Rhinolophus ferrumequinum: one gene and its partner. The protein of the gene in region 1 binds, or shares a complex with, the protein of each later gene. Links are inferred from orthologs where the notes say so. Each region holds a gene or a part of one and is shown on either strand. Other genes may lie near its edges. The genes, in order: CAPN2 and CAPNS1.

Region 1 (8,980 bases):
CCTTGTAGGAGCTCCACCCCACACCCTCGGCGTGCCCCTCTCTGCCAAGCAGAAGTGTTTCCTGGGCGAGACCCGGATCTAGCCCCTGTCCATCCCGGCTTAGGTCGCAGCTCTTCTGGCACCACCACCTGCCCCAAAGCACATTCCTCTCACGCGTCTGCATTGTCTCTTCCCTGCTCAGGCCAGTCTGTTTGGGGGATTTTAGGGACAAAGAAACAACAAGCCAGCTTTTGTTTTGAGGCCTGCCAGCCAAGCACTTATGCAGTGGATGGAACAGGGCTCGGTGCTAGGAGCCCAACACTGATATTGACAATCCTCAGTGTGGCGAGTACTTTCCCCAGAAGGATTTTTCCATTATGTTTCAGAAACTGGGCTGCATCTTTGGTAGCATCTCTGACGGAGGCAAAGTTCATAGTGGCGCTTAGAAATGTTTCAGAAAACTGAACCGTGCTCACAGCATATAGAGTATGGAATTAAGTATGGACGTAACAGGCCGAGGAAAGGGGCTGAGGTCTTGGGCTTAGGACTCAGACCCCTGGGTTTGAGTCTTGGCTCGGCCATTTATTCTATGGGTTCGATGACCCTGCAAGTTCTGTTTCGGCCTCACTTTCCTCATCTGTAAAATGGGGATGGTGATGACAACAGTACCTACCACAGAGGGCTGAATGAGATAACTAAGTAAATGTGCTTTGGTAAACACTATAAAAGTTACTCATGATTTTTATTATCATTCCTATTATTACTGTTTTATAAGAAGTCGATGACAATCATCACTGAACTTGGAGGCAGGAGATGGATGCAGGCTTGAGACTGAGTTCAGCCAGCTGAGGACACGCCAGTCAGAAAGCTCTCTGAGGCTTGGTTATCTCAGGACTCACAGCACTTGTCCTTGCTTGGACTTGACTGGTGCCATCCTTGGGTCGCGCTGGCTTTCTCCTCACGCCCTGCACCAGTGACGTTAGCCATTTCCCCTTCAGTCCCCTTCCCACCCCTGGAGCCTTCTGTGACCAGTGTCGGAAAACCCCCTCTCTGAGGAGGGGCCGTCCCTCCCGATCCAAGGCTGGCCGGCTCTCCTGCCCTTCCGCCTCCTCTACTCTCATTTCCTCAGGCACCCTGTTCCATTACCTCCTCCCAGCCTTTATCGTTAGTCCCTTCCTTTCCAGTGACTCAACATACGACACACTGTCATCTGAAACAACAGCCTCGCAAAGCCCACTCTACCTCCCATATTTCCTCTCTTTCCACAAGGCTCCCTTCTGAAACGACTTGACCATACCCTTCATTGCCAGTTCCTTACTCTGGAGTCTACAGACATCTGGCTTCTACCCCACTGAAATCCTATCCCCCTGCAACCGCTCTGTTAAAGTCGCCATTGATTTGCTCATGTTTGAATCCAGGGGACACATTTTTGTTCCCCTGGCCTGACCCCAACCACAGCGGTGTTTAGAAGGCAGGACGGAGGCAGAGAGGGCCGTCGTGGGCTGTGGGCTCTAAACGCCCATAGGCTGGGCACAGTCCTGGCTCCACCCTGGACATCTGTTTGAGCAAATATTTAATCACCCCAAGCCTCAATTTCTTCACCTGCTGAATGGGAATATAATAGACACCCCCGCTGGTTGTGTAGTGCATGACCTTCCCCACAGTGAAATGGCTCCAGAACTCTCTCCCCCTCTATTGTCCTGAGGCATTTCCAACTATTGGGTGACCTGTCTGTCTCCCTTCACCAGCCCCTAGTGAAACTACATGCATCGCGAGAAGGCAGCGCATGGAGTTTACATACAGTTTTTAATAGTTTAGAGGCAGAAACTGTATGCGCTGGGACTGGCATATACTAGGTGTTCGATATACGCTCATTGAATGAATGAAAGAATAAGTCAATGAGTATGTAAATTCACTTTGTAAACCGTAAAGTGCTATGCAAATGTAGGGTGAGTACATTCTCTTGTGTATCACTTTCACAACTATTTGAGGCTCATTGCAGTACTGCATTCATTCATTCACTCGTTCCACAAATCGTCAGTCTCTTTATTCACACATGCATGTATCCCCCCTGCATCTAAGACAGTGCCTGGCATATACTCGGCCCTCAATAAATATTGTTGAATGAATGAATGCATGCATGCATGAATGCATTCTGTGAAAGGCACTAACGCTGCCAGACGATATATGGGTGGATAATACACACCTGCTCCCCGCCGTTCAGAAGGACAAACAAATCTAGGTAATGGTGAAAAGTTAGAAACTGTGAAAATGCTGTGAAGGAAATTAGCAGGGTTCATAAAGAATAACAAGATGGGGGGGAGGGGCCTGCTGAGAATGGTCAGGAGAGGTAGCTTTGGGAAAGGGACGTTTGACTAAATCCCAAAGAATGAGAGTTAACCAGATTCCAGAAAACCAGGAAAGAACGACCCTGGCAGGTGAGAAGGCAGGAAAGAAAGAATGGTACCTTGGAGAAACTGAAGGTGGCTGAGCCTCGAGAGCCAGTGAAAAGAGGAACATACTTAGGCATCACTTCTTCTTTTAGATGAAGACATGGAAGCAAAGAGGTTAATGGCTCAGGGAGGGTCACCCAGTAGGTCTGCACGAAATGAACTCCAGTGCTCAAGTCCTGGCCAGTGGTACTTGCTATTGCACCTGCTGTTTATGCGCGGGGCTTGGGGTAACAGAGAAGGTGGCTGGGGAGGCTCGCAGGACTGCAAGCAGGTCAGGAATGTTTATTCACAACAGCATCTAGAGGTTGGATTCCCCAGGAAGCCATGTTCAGGTTTGGGAGGGAAGGTCTGGTGAGGTGTCCCACAGGAGGTGGAGCCAGCAGGGGCTCCATGGGAAAGGGATGGCCAACCAGGTTAGGGAAGGAGCTGTCCCAAGACCTGCCAGGGCAAGCGGACAGAGCGGGGGTGGGACCCGGCAGCGAGGAGGGAGCTGAGGTCCCGGGGAGGATTCTGGGCCAGCGCAATGATGAGGGACTGGTCTTTCGCTGTATGTATCTCCCCTGTCCTTGATCACCAGTGTGAATGGTACCGGGAGGTCTTCTGAGCTCCCCTTTCTTAAAATAAACAAGAAACTCGCCTTAACTCTAACCAGGACTGCATAAGACCATCCTTGGTCACCAAATGACCAGTCTGTGGACTTCCCCTCTCTGAAGTCCAGACTGACTTTTCCTGGACCCACGTTGCCTCCCACTCTCCTTTCCTGAAGACCCTCCTCCCCCACCTTCCTCCATCTCTACAATGGAGTCCAGCAAAAACTGTTCCCCAGGCCCCCGTATGTCACCGCAGTTTTTGTGAACTTTACAGGGGGTTACCCTGGCGGGACTGCTAGTGGGTTTTGAGGGCAGTGTCCAGCGAAGTGCCGTGGATGGAAGAGGGAACAGGCGCCCTCTGTGGACGCAGTCCACCCGGGAGCGTACCCGCGCGCCTGCCATGCACCGGGTAACGGGCCAGGCCTGGGGTTGGGCGCGATCGCGCGGCTGAGGGTTGTGGCTGGGGCGGCCGGGTGCGGGCTCGCTCTCCAGGACCCCTTGTCCGGTCCTCCCTGGCCGGGAGCCCTGGGCGGCCACGCCTCGGGGCCCCCACCCGCCCTGCTTCGCATCCCGCCGCGCTTCCTACCGCTTCCTACCGTGGGCCGCTTCCACTGGATGCCCTGGGTCTTGCTGGAGTAGGGTCCCAATTCCTTGAAGCCCAGGGAAGACGGCATGGCGGGGAACGAGGGGTCCTGGAAGAGCGTCCCGGCCTCCAGGCACTGGTCCCGCAGCGTCTCGTAATCCTGGTTGAGGTACTTGATGGCCCTTTCGTGCGAGCCCAGTCCCTCGGCCGCCTCCCTGTCCCTGGCCAGTTTAGCCGCGATGCCCGCCATGGTGCCCGGCTGACCGGCGATCGAGGTACAGGTCTCGGGTACTGCGCACTGCAGGGGCGAGGCTGGGCCCGGCACTCGGCAACCGGACTGCGGGCTCCGCTGCCAGCGATGATTCACCAGCCGGGAAGCGCCCTCCGCCCGCCGGGGTGTGGCCTCGCCGCTCCCGGCCTGCTCGGCGCCGGGCCCGGGACGCAGCCTGCCCGTGCGCGGCCTGCAGAGCGCCCGCGGGAGGGACCGCGAGGCCGCTGCTGCCACCTGCGGACGGCTCTGGGATGGCCCAGCCGGCTGGCCCTGGCCATAGCGGCTCCCGAGTGCAAAAGTTAGCCAAAACTGATAGCCAACTTCCCACCTCCCGGGGATCGGGGATCGAGGACGGGCGAAACCCAGGCTGGGGCAGTGGTGACTCGCCAGGAAACACCCTGTGAGTCAGTAGATCAGGGAGTGAGGTCGAGGAGAGGAAATCAGCTGCCATCGTTTGGGTCTGGACTTCGTGTCCTAACAGCTCTGTATGCGTGATCTCATTTAATCCTCCCAGCAACTCTCTAAGAAGATGGTCCTTCTGCTGTTGTCCCCATTTTACAGATGGAAAAACTGAGCATCAGAGAGGTTCAATGGCATTACCCAATGTCACACAACTAGTCTCAAGCAGAACAAGGGCTCAAAGTCACCAAGGCCTGTTCTAATCAGGATGCTACACTGTTGCTGGTCAGCTATTGGATCATAAAGAGGGGTGACAGACGTGGCAAATAAAAACACGTGCAGTTAAATTGGAATTTCAACAGACACCAATAGTTCTTTTAGTGTCAGTGTGGCGAGAAGAAGAAACTTTCCTTTGTTCCACTGATCTAATAATTACATCAACATGAGACAGATTAACAAGAGAAAATAGTCAAATTTAATTACATACCTAATCGTACATATGGAAACCCCACATACATAAGGGAGTCAGACACCCCACATACACAAGAGGTTCCGAGTCAGAAAAGTAAAATGGGTTTACATGGCATTCAGAGCTAAGGATGAAGTCAGGTGCCTGGGGTGTCAGAGGGGAGGGAGTCATTCTCAGAGCGATGGAAAAGCAGAGGGTCAGTAATTAGACGTTTGCCCTGCCCTGCAGATAAGTCAAACAAGTTGATTGATAATCTCTTAGGACGAGCAAAGCCCCTAACTTAAATTCTTTATGGGGGAGGTCAAAGTTTCTCGTGAGCCCCAGGGTCTCCGTTGTCTTCAGCTCAAAATAATCCACATGCCAAAGTGGCCCGTCTTGGGGAGGCGTGTTCTGAACCCCTTCAGTAAATATGTCTCAAATACTGCAGGGGGCCATACTTGTACTGGAAAATTAGTTGTTTATCTGAAACTCACTTTTAACTGGGAGGATTGAGTCAATATCGGTAGAGTGCGTAGACCAGTTATCTGTATTCAGGCCACCGTGAGCACTCTGCTGAGAGGTAGCAAGAGAGTTTCAGCTCACACAGAGAAGTGGGTGTGTGCCTAGGAGTGCATGGTTTCCTCCTCTCCTTTCCTACACTCATAGAAGAATGTGTGTTTCAATGGAAAACTACAGTTTTTAACTGGAAGCAAATTTGTCCTCTTTACCCTTCGTCAGGGGACATTTGGCAAGGTCTGCAGACTTTATTGTCATGACTGGGGGATGCTGTGCTACTGGCCTTTCTTGGGTAGAAGCCAGGGATTCTGCTAAACATCTTAATAATGATGCCCAGAACAGCTCCCCACAAGAATTATCTGGTCCAAAACATCCATAATGCTGAGGCTGAGAACCCCTAGCTTAGAGCACCTCTTTCCAGGCCATCTGATTCTAGCCTGTCATTGTTTTTGAGTTATTTTACAACCCTAAGTTGCAGATAATGGTAGCAATGCAAAATAATTTTTCTGTAAGCATGCCAATTAATTCTGTCCAGCAGAGAGACGTCTCACCCCATTGGAGAAGACAGACGAACAGACGAGTCCATTTCAGTGTTCTTTACCTCATGTAAATGTGTGCTTCTTTGATTTCTCCTTTGAACCAATGATAACATCTGCCTAGTTGCCTGCTTCAATTAATGAGTTAAATGAAATCTTGAAAACATATTAATTTTATATCTGTATGAGAGTCATGATTTTACCTTTTCTCAAAATCACCTTTGAGCCTAAGGGAGAAAGACCAGATAATGCTCTGTGAAGAAAGTGGCATGTAACTTGGTCTGGAAGGATAGTTTGAGATTTGAATATTCAGGATTTTTCTGTGAAACAACAACCTGTCAGGAAAAAAGTCTTTGGAATTGAAAAAAAAAAAAAAATTCCTGGGTGTCCTGTGGAATGCTGGGTGACTCCTTTCAGGGGATCATGTCCGTAGTGGTCTGTACCTTTTACAGTCTTCAGACTATTTTACAGCTCTGTAAGCTGTAGAAAATTGAGAGTAATGCAAATAATTCTTGTCCGTGTGTATGCACATCAATATCCTCAGGTGGAAGTGCAATCAGTTTTGCATCTATTAACAAGTTTATATTCTTTGAACTGTTTTTTTAAACGCCTACTGGTTGCCTAATCCACTCATAAGTTAAGTAAAATCTTTGACCTATGTTCATTTTGTATTTGTATGAGAGTCCTTCTTTTACCCTTTTAAGACAGTATTTTTAAATGTATTAGGGTGACACTGGTTAATAACGTTATATAAATTTCAGGTGTACGAGTTTATAATACGACATCTGTACACCCTACTGTGTGCAGACGCTATGTGGACAGGCTCTGTGCCTTAGCATTTGTTATGTCACGTGCACATCACAGGCTCTTAACGGATGATGGAGAAATAAATAAAAAGGGTGAGAAGTGTTTGAAGAAAATAGAGGCACTTGGTTTGCATAAGTGAGAATATTGAGCCCTTGATGCTAACCCCATTAAAAAAAAAAATTTCTGTTTGATTTTGAGACACTTGCCTGTTTCCGAGACTTGGAGAGGAAAGAGGGGTGCTGTAATAAATCATAAATTCCTAACTGGGCAGGTCTCAGTGGGTAGTCAGGCCCCAGGCCTATACCTTCTTAGTGAAAAGTTTTAAGGAAGCCCTGTTCATTGTTGTGTAGCTAGATTAGCACCTAACTTTGAAATGCCAGAAATAACACCCTTTGAAGTCATAATTGCCCTTAAGAAAGCACATAACCTTGTGATCCAATCCCTGCCTTGTCCTCGCTTTCTCCCACCTGCACGTCATCTTCCTTATATTCCCTTCTTAATTTCAAACACATAAAAGAAGCTGCAAACTGTTATTCTCCAGAGCATTTGAGATCTTGCTCCTCGGCCTATGTTGTCAGTTTTGGCTCAGATAAACTCTTATAAAAATTCTCTACAGGTTTCCATGTTTCTTGCATCAACAGACTGCAGAAGTCTCTCTGTGGAGAACTAGAGTTCTCCCTATTGCAGTCGTCTTTCTTTCTCCTTAAAGTCTTCCCTGCCTAAGTCTGGCTGTGTTTTTATTTGACATCCTCCACTTCCAGTTTGCACGTTGCCTGATGGAGAGGTGTCACTGCTGGCCACCAGGCTCTGCTTTCTGTACCCTCAGATGACATGGGGTACATAGGCATTCATTTCTAGCTTGAAGGTTTCTGGTGCAAAGGTTTTATGAAACCATCAGAATCGAAAACAGAGGAAAGAGACAGCCCTTCCTGGAAGCTGTTGATTTGTTTCACTCTTCGATTTCCTTTGGGCCCACCGGGATTTCTTCCAGGGTCTGGGCTCTGGGGAGGAAGCTTGTGTACCTGCCCCGTATGGCAGAGCAGCTGGGAATACTCAGACTTCTTCTCCTGCCAATGTCCTGGAAGACATTCATCCCTGGGGGGAAGTGCCTCCTCCCAGGTGTCTGGGCTTTCCCTCCAGAGTCCTCTAAGCAACAGAGGACCGGGCATACCAGCCCTAGTGTCACAGGCCAATCAGGAACTCCATGCAGCCCTGGGACACAAGAGCCTCCTGGCTCACCCAGGACTGTCTCTCCCCGGCCAGGGAACACCTCTTCGAGGCGGCGGTAGCCACTGACCCACCAGCCTTCTGTGCACACAGGATTAGGCTTTCAAAGGCCCATAGCTGTCCTGAGCGACTCAAATTTACTTCCAGCCGCACACAATGACTATTGCCCTCACCAGTGGACAGGGGCCAGTTTTTAAACCTGCTTAAACATGTTCTTTATACTTTTCAAAGCTTCTCACACAATGCTATCTCACTGGGTCCCACATCTCATCTTTCTTTGACCACACGATGTCTTTCACATTAGCACACAGGCGGGCGCAGACAGACACACACACCGTGGGCCTCACCCTTCACGGTGGGGAACCTTCCTGGAGTGAGTCCCCAGCCCTGAGGGCAGTGGGTGAGTCAGAAGCAGCTGAGATTACCCAAAGCTGCCTCAGTGTGCCAGAGCCCAGTGTGCCAGCAGGTGTGTGTGTGTGTGTGTGAGAGAGAGAGAGAGAGAGAGAGAGAGAGAGAGAGAGAATGTGTGTCTCAGAGGACCACTACAAGGCAATCTCTTTTTGTAGCATTTTCCTTGATTGTTTTTTCCAAGTGAAAAGAAGAGAAAATAAAACATCTAGGCCACACCACCTCCACGGCCCTGGATGTTTGTGAGGTGTCAGAGGCACGACCTTCAGCTTCTAGAGGTGCTATTTGAAGCCACCCTTAGAATGGAGCACCCCCATGTCCGGGCACTGAGCTCCTCTCTTTACGCACATTTCATCATCCTCATCATTGGTCACAAGAGATCTTATTTCCCCATTTGTAGATGAGAAAACGGAGGCCCAGCCACGTGGCTGTGAAGGGTCGCAGCGTACCTGGCCCTCACGCCCTAGACCACAAGCCTGTGGGTCTCTTTTCCCAGCTTAGGAGGGTGAAGGGGGTGGCTGGGGGCCTGCTTTGTCACTGGGGCTGAGGCTGAGGGAAAGCCAGGTTTTTCTTCTCCTCCCTCGTTCAGGTCTGTGATCTGACTTCAGAGGGACCAGAGAGAATATCAATTCCACAGTGTTCCAACGCGTGGCTTTGTTTTAGAGATTTCTTCCGTTTGGAGCGGTTCCAGGGCTCAGTTTTCCTTGTGATTGTAGCATGGGGGTGGGAGAGGCCTATTGGATGAGGGAACGAGTGGCTGGGA
Region 2 (8,585 bases), on another chromosome or scaffold:
GAAGTCTTTGTGCTGGGAGTTTCAGAGGTCACCACACACCTGCCACTTTTTGATGTTGTTCCACAAATACTTGAATTCCTCAAAACCCAGCTTTCCTGTCGTGTCACTCTGGTAGAACGGTGTTAAGAATAGCTGTACCCAAATGCATGCATTGTACACCCTGTGTACACAACAATGATAACAGCCAATCAGGGGAACCTGGGCTAAAACCCCAGCTCCTATCTCACCCTCCTCATGTCACCGTGGGTGTGGCTTTCTCATTTTATCCATACATATTTTACTTTATATTCCTAAATGATAAGGAATCTTTCAACATAACCATGTGGAATTATAATGAACTTTTCTAAGCTACAAATTCCTCACCTGAAAATAGTTGCTAATTCCTCATTTATAAAATTCATGATAGTAATTCAATTTCCTAAATGTTAGGACATGTAAAAAAACAAGGACATCTCAGAGCTCTAAGGAAATGAGGTGACGGTAGTGAATACCTACTGGGTTTGTGATCAGAGCAGAATGAGATATTGGCAGAAAGCCCTTAGCTCAGGGGCTGGCATTTGATTAGTTCTCAATCAACAACAACAGTGGCCAAGACTTAACAGATTACGTAGTACACACCAGAGAATACTAAGCTTCTCAAGAACGTAACTTTTCTCACTAAGTCCTCAAGACACCAGCCCCACCAATATTATTCTCCAGTCAGAGACAGAAACATTCAGAGCTGAAGAGTCTACTTGTGTAAGATCATAGTAACATCTAACACATTATCACTCACCCCATTATACAGATAGGCAAATTGAAGCACAGAGAGGCTCAGTAACCTTGCTAAGGGGCAGAGCCATTATTTAACTATGCCGCACACGTACGTGATCACATGACATGAATATATGTACGTATGTCTGCACTGCCTTATGTGCTCAGTGCGCATGTATCCAAGATTAGCTAATGACTGGCCCATGTGCAAATAGACATATTTTCCTGTGCATATATCTTCACGCATATGGGTGTACCCTGGCACACATACGCATGTGCACATACCTATGGCAGTTATAATAAGCTTGGGTTCTTAAGCCCCGAAGACCTGAATCCAAATTCCTATCCTTCCACTTTTTATGAAAGCTACATCCTGGCTCCCACTCATGCTCGCAGAAAACTCCCTCTTCACACAAGGCCTCTCCCATACTGCCCTTAAGGATACATCCATCACGGCCACCATGCTGCGACATGTGTCAATGCCAAAACCATCAGTCTTCAGATCTGGGTCTGTAGGGGACAGGTTGACAGAGGCCAGAGGTCACAGCTACCCCAGCTGCCATGCCTCTAAACCTGCCCTATGGGTTGACCCTAGTCACTCACGTCGGGTCACGACCTTGTTGAGAATGTTCATGAGTTCTGTGGCGCTGACCTCCATGTCCTGCAGGGAGAAATTAGGGGTAGATCAGGGGTGACTGAAAGGGGTCTAGGAGTGTCATGAAGGAGGATAGGAACTTTTGGATTGCCATGGTTGAGTGTGTATGTGCAAGGGCCATCCAAGGGAAGGCATGGAAGGGTTAGGACAGGTCTGGGGACCCCGGGTTACTTACCTCTCCAGCCAGCTGGGCAAATAGCCTCCGGAACTGCCGGACTTCCTCACTCTCATTGGCCTCGACATTGGAGTAATGGGTTCGTGGGGGCTACAGAGGGAGAAGATCTCAGAGCAAGTAAGGGGAGGGGCAGTACAGGCCTAGGTGGGAAAGTCAGAGTGGGCAGTGTAGCTGAGTGATCAAAGGAATGAGAGGTGGTCAGTGAACAGGGAGTAGGTAATAGCTAAGTTTGAGGACATGGAAAGGGAGAGACTTAGTAAGAGGGATATCATAAGAGGGAGAGGGGCTTTTCTAAAGGGACATGGAGGGATGCTGGAAAAGGCCTCTTAGTGAGAAGTCATCAGTTGTGGAGGTCGGCTTACCGGGGGCTCTGGGTTGTACTGCGCAGCCGCCTCGCTGGAGGGAAACGGGAATTAGCGCCAGGGGGCGGGGCGTCCAACTGGCAGCGCCAGCCCCCACACCTCAACCTCCCCAAACCCCAGCCTGCCACCCTTGGCCTGCCTTATCTGTCCTTGTCCTCACGTGTCCCTATCCTTGCTGCCCTGATTGCACCTGCGAGGAAACTAACAGGCTCAGCCCCCTACGGTGGGCTCCACTCCTACCAAGATTCCTCAATAGACCCAGCCCCCTGAAGGGCGTACTCTATAAAAGCTGCCCCAGCTTCGCGGGGCCCCGCCCTCCTCAGGTTCCATGTCTGTCTAGGAACCTACTCCATCCCTAGGGCTTCCTGAATGCTTGTGTCTTCCCAACATCCCACCCCAGCCCCATTATTTCCTGCCCCTTCGAGGGATCACTGCTCAGTGGCCAAGACTAATTAGGTCCCTAATTAGGCGAATTAGACAACCTGCCCTACTTCCACTACGACATTTTTCTATTTTAATCCAGCCAGTTTCCGGTAATGCCGTGCCCCTTCAAAACCGTTTCTCCTATCTCAGTAGGCCTCGGCCTCTTCAGGGCGCAACTTCTCATTTATCCACTTAAAAGTCCACACCAAGCCCACTTGACAAGCCTTGCCCCCACGAAGTGACACCCAGCCTCACTGGCTCCGCCCCCTTAACGTTCGTTTCCAGATTAGCGGAAGCAGGCGATATCCAGCCTCCCTAAGCCCCACCTCCTAAACCCCTGCCGGGACCCATCAACAGTCAATCGCGTCTCCCTAAAAATCATGTCAAGCCCCGCCCTCATAAACTGCGGTCAGCCTCATTAGGGCCCGCCCCCTCAAGGCTGGCCTCCCAGCCCAGGTCCCGCCCAGCCTAATTAAGGCTCCAGGTCAATCTCCAGGTTACCCCATTCTATTCTTCCCGGACAAGCCTCCTCCGCCAGACCCCGCCCCCTCAGGCCCCGCCCTACCTGATGGCGCTAATGACCCCGCCCAGGATGCGCATGGCAGTTCCACCACCGCCGCCGCCGCCGCCGATGCCGCCGATGCCGCCGCCGCCGCCGCCGCCACCGCCTCCGCCGCCGCCTCCGGCCCCGCTGATCAGGCCTCCGAGTACATTCCCCAGGCCCCCGCCCAGGCCTCCGCCTCCCCCTCCACCGCCGCCTTTCAAGAACGAGTTAACCAGGAACATGGCTACGACTCAAAGTTCCTAAGGAGGAAAAAGGGGTCAGCTGGCCTCCTCGCCCAGAGCCCGCCCCCTCCCCACAAAAATACGCATTTCTGGCAGCTGGACGTAGGCAGTAATATGAGGCCTCTAGGGGAGGACCAATCTTCCGGCTGGGGCTTGAAGAGTCCATTCGGGATGGGGTCTGGGCTTCTGAAGGAGAGCAGTTCTCGGGTGGGTGCGATAGGGACAGAGGATCAAGTATGAAACCTCCTCCAGACTGAAAGGGTCCCGGTCAGACTTGAGAGGCCTGGATTGAGTCTACACATAGGCATCATTAAGGGTAGGGGTCCAGGTCTGGTTGGGTTCTCGGGGGTCCCAAGTTGGTATAAGGCATCCTGGACGTGTCTGGACGCCCAAATCTGAGTCCCAGAGCCCAAGAACTGAACTAAGGGTCTTGGGCGGTTCAGGGGCGTGGATCAGATTCTCGGCCTGGAGGCCCCCGGGACAAGGTTTGGGAAATCCAGGATGTGGGTTTGAAGGTTTAGGTACTCCCAGCAGCGGGATTACAGTGTCACCGCCGGGTCTGTGGGCTCCGGTCCAAGATGGTGGGTGTAAGCCCCGGGCCCGGGATAACGGGGTTCTCCATTAGAACTGGGAGCACGGATCTAGCCGGGACTTTAGGGTCTTGTAGGGTCTGGGAGCCGTAAAGGCCGGGATTACGGAGTACAGGGGGGTCTGGCCCGGGCGCTCACCGCCTGTCTTACACGTCCGCTGGTCCGCTCCTCTGCGCTGCTCCCGGGCCTCTGGCTGTGTCCGGCTTGGTAGGGCGGGGCCCGTGACTCAGGCGACTTTGACCGGGTTAGGCTCTCGGGGGCCGCCCAGACAGCATCCGCGCGGTCCTAGCGCGGTCCTTGAAACTGCGCCTGCGCGCGCGGGCCCGGCCTTGCTAACGGGATGAGACCGCCCGGGCCCAGCCCAGCATTCTTCCGGCGCCGCGGGCTGTATCCCGGCCGTGACTTCATAGGTCTGAGGTTGTCCCTACATCTCGCCAGCCCGGTGAAGACACCCGGGGACGAGAACTCCAGAGTGACACCGCAGGTTGTAATGGGAATGGTCGCCCCGAAGCCGGCCTCCACCCGGCTACAGATGTGATTTTCTGTCGGCTCGAAACGGGACTCTTGGCACCCGGCCCCTATCCTGGCCTTGTTGCGACAGACAACATCCTAAGACCCCGAGTTTTATTTGGCTCACAGTCCGGGAACAAGCATCCGCATCTGGCAATGACTAAGGGTAGACTAGCTTTTCCCGGACCTTGTAGTAGCCAGGATGGTAGTCAGACTGCGGGTAGGACTTCGCCGCCTAAGAAAGCGGCCTTGTGCCCTCCACCCGCATTCCTTCACCCCCAAGTCAGGGTCACCAGAATAATTTTTCCTGAAGAGGCCCAAAGTGTCACCTCAGTCTCTAAAGTGGAGCCCGGACATAGGAAGAGTGTCGGCCAAGACCTGGTGTCCCAGGCTACCCTTCCCAAAGTCGGGTGATGGGCGCGAAATGAAGAAACGTAGGGAAAGTGGTAACTCAACCTGCCTTTAGAATCCTTTCTGTTGCTCTCCGGTTCCAGACTCCAACCTGTGCACATCCAGTACTTTTTCAGGGCTCTTCAGAAGGAGCTAAATCTAGCTACTGGGCAGTCTGGCCATCTGGCCATTAGCCTCTCCCCTGGAGGCTGGCTAGGCTTGTTTGAATCCTGCTTCTGCTCCCTAATAACTGAAATACGAAAAAGTGATTTGAAGTCTCTACGCAAAGATCTTCTAATCTGTAAAATGGGAACAAGTTTTCCCATGGCCCCCTCACAAGGCCCCTATCATAATTAAGTGATTAAAGCTTAGTAAATAGTAGCTCTTATCCTGTGTCTGTAACCACGCTCTTCCCTCCTGCTCACCTGGATTCCTCAGTTGGTTGACTCTTGCTCATCCTTAGATAATACTGATAAAAATAACTGCCACGCACTCTCCTAACCACTTTACATGTATCAGCTCATATATCCTCATAACTTTTATGGGATGGATGCTACACACTCTCCATTTTACAAATAAGTAAACTACCTCTGAAGTTAAACTCCCTAGCTCGTACTGGTAACCACTACCCTAATGAACTGATTCTTCAATAATATAATTAATATGAAAATAGCTCAGATAAGATCAAAATAGACAAAACCCACAGTCAACAGCTAATACTTCCTGAGGGCTTGCTGGGGCCAGGTCAAGGAACTCCTACACAAGCCTTGTCTATGAGGCAGGAACTAATAGGAGAGAAAATGGAGGCTCTGAAGGCAGGGTCACTTGCCTGAGGTCACAGAGGGTGTCATGACCAGGTCTGAAGCTAGGCTTGGCTCATGCCAAAACTCTTGGTGATGACTAATCCAGATTCCCGTCTCACCACACCCTTCCCTGCCAGACTGAGCAGCTTCTGTTCTCTGCCCTCTCCAGGGCTCACTTGCTGCCAGGCCTTCAATATGGACTGTGCCATCTACCTGGAACACTTTCTCCCTTTTTCACCTGGTTTTGTATCTCCTCAGGCTTTGGGTGTCAGCTGAGGTGTTACCTCTCCTGGGAAGCCCTCCCTGTCTCCACCCCCATCTGAGAGTAGGTGTGGCGTCCAGTTACATGCTTGTAACTTGTTCTTTCTCTTAGCACTCACTGCCAATTACAATCATATTGTGGTCCAGGTCTGTGTCCCCGACCTTTAACCCTGGCCAACTCCAGGTCTTAGGCCTTGGTCCACCTCTCTAACCCACTGAAGCCATAGAGGATCTCCCTCACATGCGTAGCTTAAATTCCATCCCTAGGCTATCAATACCCAAATTTCTATCTTCAGCCCAGGCGTCTCCAACCTCCTATATCTTGCATCCTACTCACCGTCTGTATAGGGGTCTTAGAGGTGCCTCAGGTTTCACACATCCTAAACAGCTCCTGACCTTCCTCCCAAACCTGCTTCCTCCCCACCTTCCCCACCTAGGTTAATGGCATCTCTGTCCTTCCAGTGGCTGAGACCAAACACCCCAGGGTCATCCTTGACCTCTTTCACACCCACTCCAACCCATCAGCAAACCTCTTCGACTCTACCTACATAATCTAAACTCTTCTCCTCCTCCACTCCTCCCCAACCCCCACCTCCATCCTCTGCCTCCTGGACCTCACGGGCACCTCCTCCCCAGTCTCCTGCTCACATCCCTGTCCCCACAGTCTGCTCCCCACAGGCAACCAAAGGGAGCATGTGAACCCGTGTCAGGTCAGGGCCCACCTGGCTCATAGCCCTTCCTAGACTGCACCTCACTCCAGATAAGAGTCAAAGGCCTCACCATGGGCACCAAGTCTCTAGTGCTCTGTTCTGTCTCCTCTCTGCCCTCATCTCCTCCCTCTTAAGAAAGTGGGAAGAAGCCCTACTGGCAGCTTGACCTGGATGTTCCCAGCTGAACACGGACAAGACACAGAGGAGGAGGCTCTGCCAGCACATCAATGTCTAAGCAGGGGGCCGCTACTCCATTACCAAGGCCCTCTCTAGCCCCACCTCAGTGCCTCAAGTATGCACATCTAGTGACCTCAGGAAGCCCCACACTCCCTATCCCACTCCACACTGCTCTTTATCACCTGCTAACGTACTGAGTGGTTTACTTATTTACCTAGTTTCTTGTCTCTCTCCCCCACTAGAATGTGAGCTCTTCAAGGGCAGGGATTTCTGTATGTCTTGTTCACAGCTATGTACCCAGTTCCCAGAACAGTGCCCAGAACATCTTAGGTACATAGGTATTTGTTGAATGTATGAAATACTTTGTGTGGATTTTCTCATTGAATTTTCAGCACCGTCAATGAGATAGTACAGCAAGCATTACTAAAGTCTTCCACCATCTTCCGGACTCCTTTAAACTCAGGCATGGTTATGTGACTTGTTTTGACCAATGAAATGTGAGTGGAAATGTTGGAAGTGTCACTTCCCAGTGTAGCATTTAAAGCCAGTGCAGGATGCTCCGGGCTCTTACCTCCTTCCTAGGCAACCTTGGGAGAGCTATGCAAACACAGAGCTGCTGCACAAAGGAAGCTACCCGGATCACGGAGCCATGGCATGGAGGACTTGTGCCTGTTTCTGTGAGCAAGAAATAAATTTTGAGGTGTTAGTCCACTAAGATCTAGGGCTCATTTGTTACCACAGTGTAACCTAGCCTATTCTGACTGTTGCAAGTAGATGTTGTTATGATGTCCATGAGGAAACCAGAAAAATGGAATTACTTGTCCAAGATTACACAGCTAATAAATACTAGAGTCAAGATTCAGACCCAGGAAAGCTGGCTTTGTAGCTCATGCTTTTAATCCTCACAATTTGCTGCCTCAATTATATTAATGTTACAATGCTACCAAGTAGGAAACTCACAATAGTCATGACTGTCCTAACTAATGCCTCCTGAGGGCTTGATGGGACCAGATTAGAATAAGTAATTTACAGGTACGTCTTGGAAGGCCTCTCACAACCTTCTGAAAAAGGAACTAACATGAGAGGAAGTGGAGGTTCAGAGAGGTGGAGTCATTTGCCTGCGGCATGGCAGAGCCAGGTCTAAACCCAAGCATGGTTGATGCCAAATAGTTATGTGATGACTATTCCAGATTACTGTACCTCCTCTGCCCTCCCTTCAATGGTGTATTAGTCAGGGTTCTCCAGAGAAAGAACTAACAGGCCATAGGGAGAGAAAGAAAGAGATTTATTATACTCGTATACACCCTGAGAGCAATTTCCCATGTCCCTAAAAATATAATTTTTTGTGTTTTCATAATATTCCATCCTCTGAAAGTTACTAGAATTTTTTTCATTCATTCATTCATTCATTCAACACACATTTATTGAGTGCCTACTAAATCCAGGCGCCCAGATGTGTGATGGGGATGTAGTGGTGAACAAAACTCCCGGGGCTTATGTCCTAGCAGAGGAAGACACACAATAAACAAGGAAATAAATAAACAATGTAACCCTTCTCTATTTTCAGATAAAGCATGTCCCAAAATATGTGGCAGAGATTGGCTAATTGCTTGACTAAAACTGCTCCCCTTTTTTCTTCCACACAAGAATTACATTTCCCGTCATCTATTGCAATTTTGTATGGATATGTAACCGACTTAAGGCCAACGGCATGTGAGCTGATGTGTCATATCCAGTCTCCAGGCTTGACCTTAAAAACCTCCCACAAGTGGTCTTCACTTTTTTCAACATCCATGGGCTCAACAGAGGGGACTCTGAGGACCTAGAGGTGGGCAGAGCCACAACATGGAAGGAGCCTGGGTCTCTGCTAGACTCTGTGGAGCAGAGTGACCCCACTGACTTACATTGGACTGTAGTGTGAATTAAAATATAGACTTATTAAGCCACTGAGTTCTAAAGTTTCTTCAGTTAAAAGCAGCTAGCATTATTT

The links.
Region 2: the proteins of CAPN2 (region 1) and CAPNS1 are in contact, whole or in part, in a crystal structure (PDB 1KFU), measured with the Homo sapiens proteins. The link is inferred for Rhinolophus ferrumequinum from reciprocal best matches to the Homo sapiens genes CAPN2 and CAPNS1. Residues at the interface, in NP_001739.3 of Homo sapiens: Ala2, Gly3, Ile4, Ala5, Lys7, Leu8, Ala9, Arg12, Glu13, Glu16, Phe60, Arg366, Arg416, Arg417, Arg418, Arg420, Asp494, Ile516, Phe551, Glu575, Lys578, Val581, Asp582, Asp585, Gly588, Ser589, Gly590, Gln641, Leu642, Gln644; in NP_001003962.1 of Homo sapiens: Thr85, His86, Ser88, Asp111, Asp112, Met113, Glu114, Ser116, Thr118, Asp142, Arg145, Ser146, Ala149, Val150, Met151, Asp152, Ser153, Asp154, Thr155, Thr156, Gly157, Gly160, Phe161, Glu163, Asn206, His208, Leu209, Met212, Ile213, Arg215.

The regions. Positions count from the first base shown.
Region 1 is NC_046310.1:12,886,917-12,895,896, reverse strand, and holds the start of CAPN2 (calpain-2 catalytic subunit), read right to left. Parts: upstream 4,088-8,980; 5' UTR 3,856-4,087; coding exon 3,619-3,855; intron 1-3,618. UniProt on the Homo sapiens protein: Calcium-regulated non-lysosomal thiol-protease which catalyzes limited proteolysis of substrates involved in cytoskeletal remodeling and signal transduction. Proteolytically cleaves MYOC at 'Arg-226'.
Region 2 is NC_046298.1:36,387,356-36,395,940, reverse strand, and holds the start of CAPNS1 (calpain small subunit 1), read right to left. Parts: upstream 3,987-8,585; 5' UTR 3,883-3,986; intron 3,173-3,882; 5' UTR 3,155-3,172; coding exon 2,934-3,154; intron 1,980-2,933; coding exon 1,946-1,979; intron 1,674-1,945; coding exon 1,584-1,673; intron 1,415-1,583; coding exon 1,357-1,414; intron 1,264-1,356; coding exon 1,199-1,263; intron 109-1,198; coding exon 40-108; intron 1-39. UniProt on the Homo sapiens protein: Regulatory subunit of the calcium-regulated non-lysosomal thiol-protease which catalyzes limited proteolysis of substrates involved in cytoskeletal remodeling and signal transduction. Essential for embryonic development.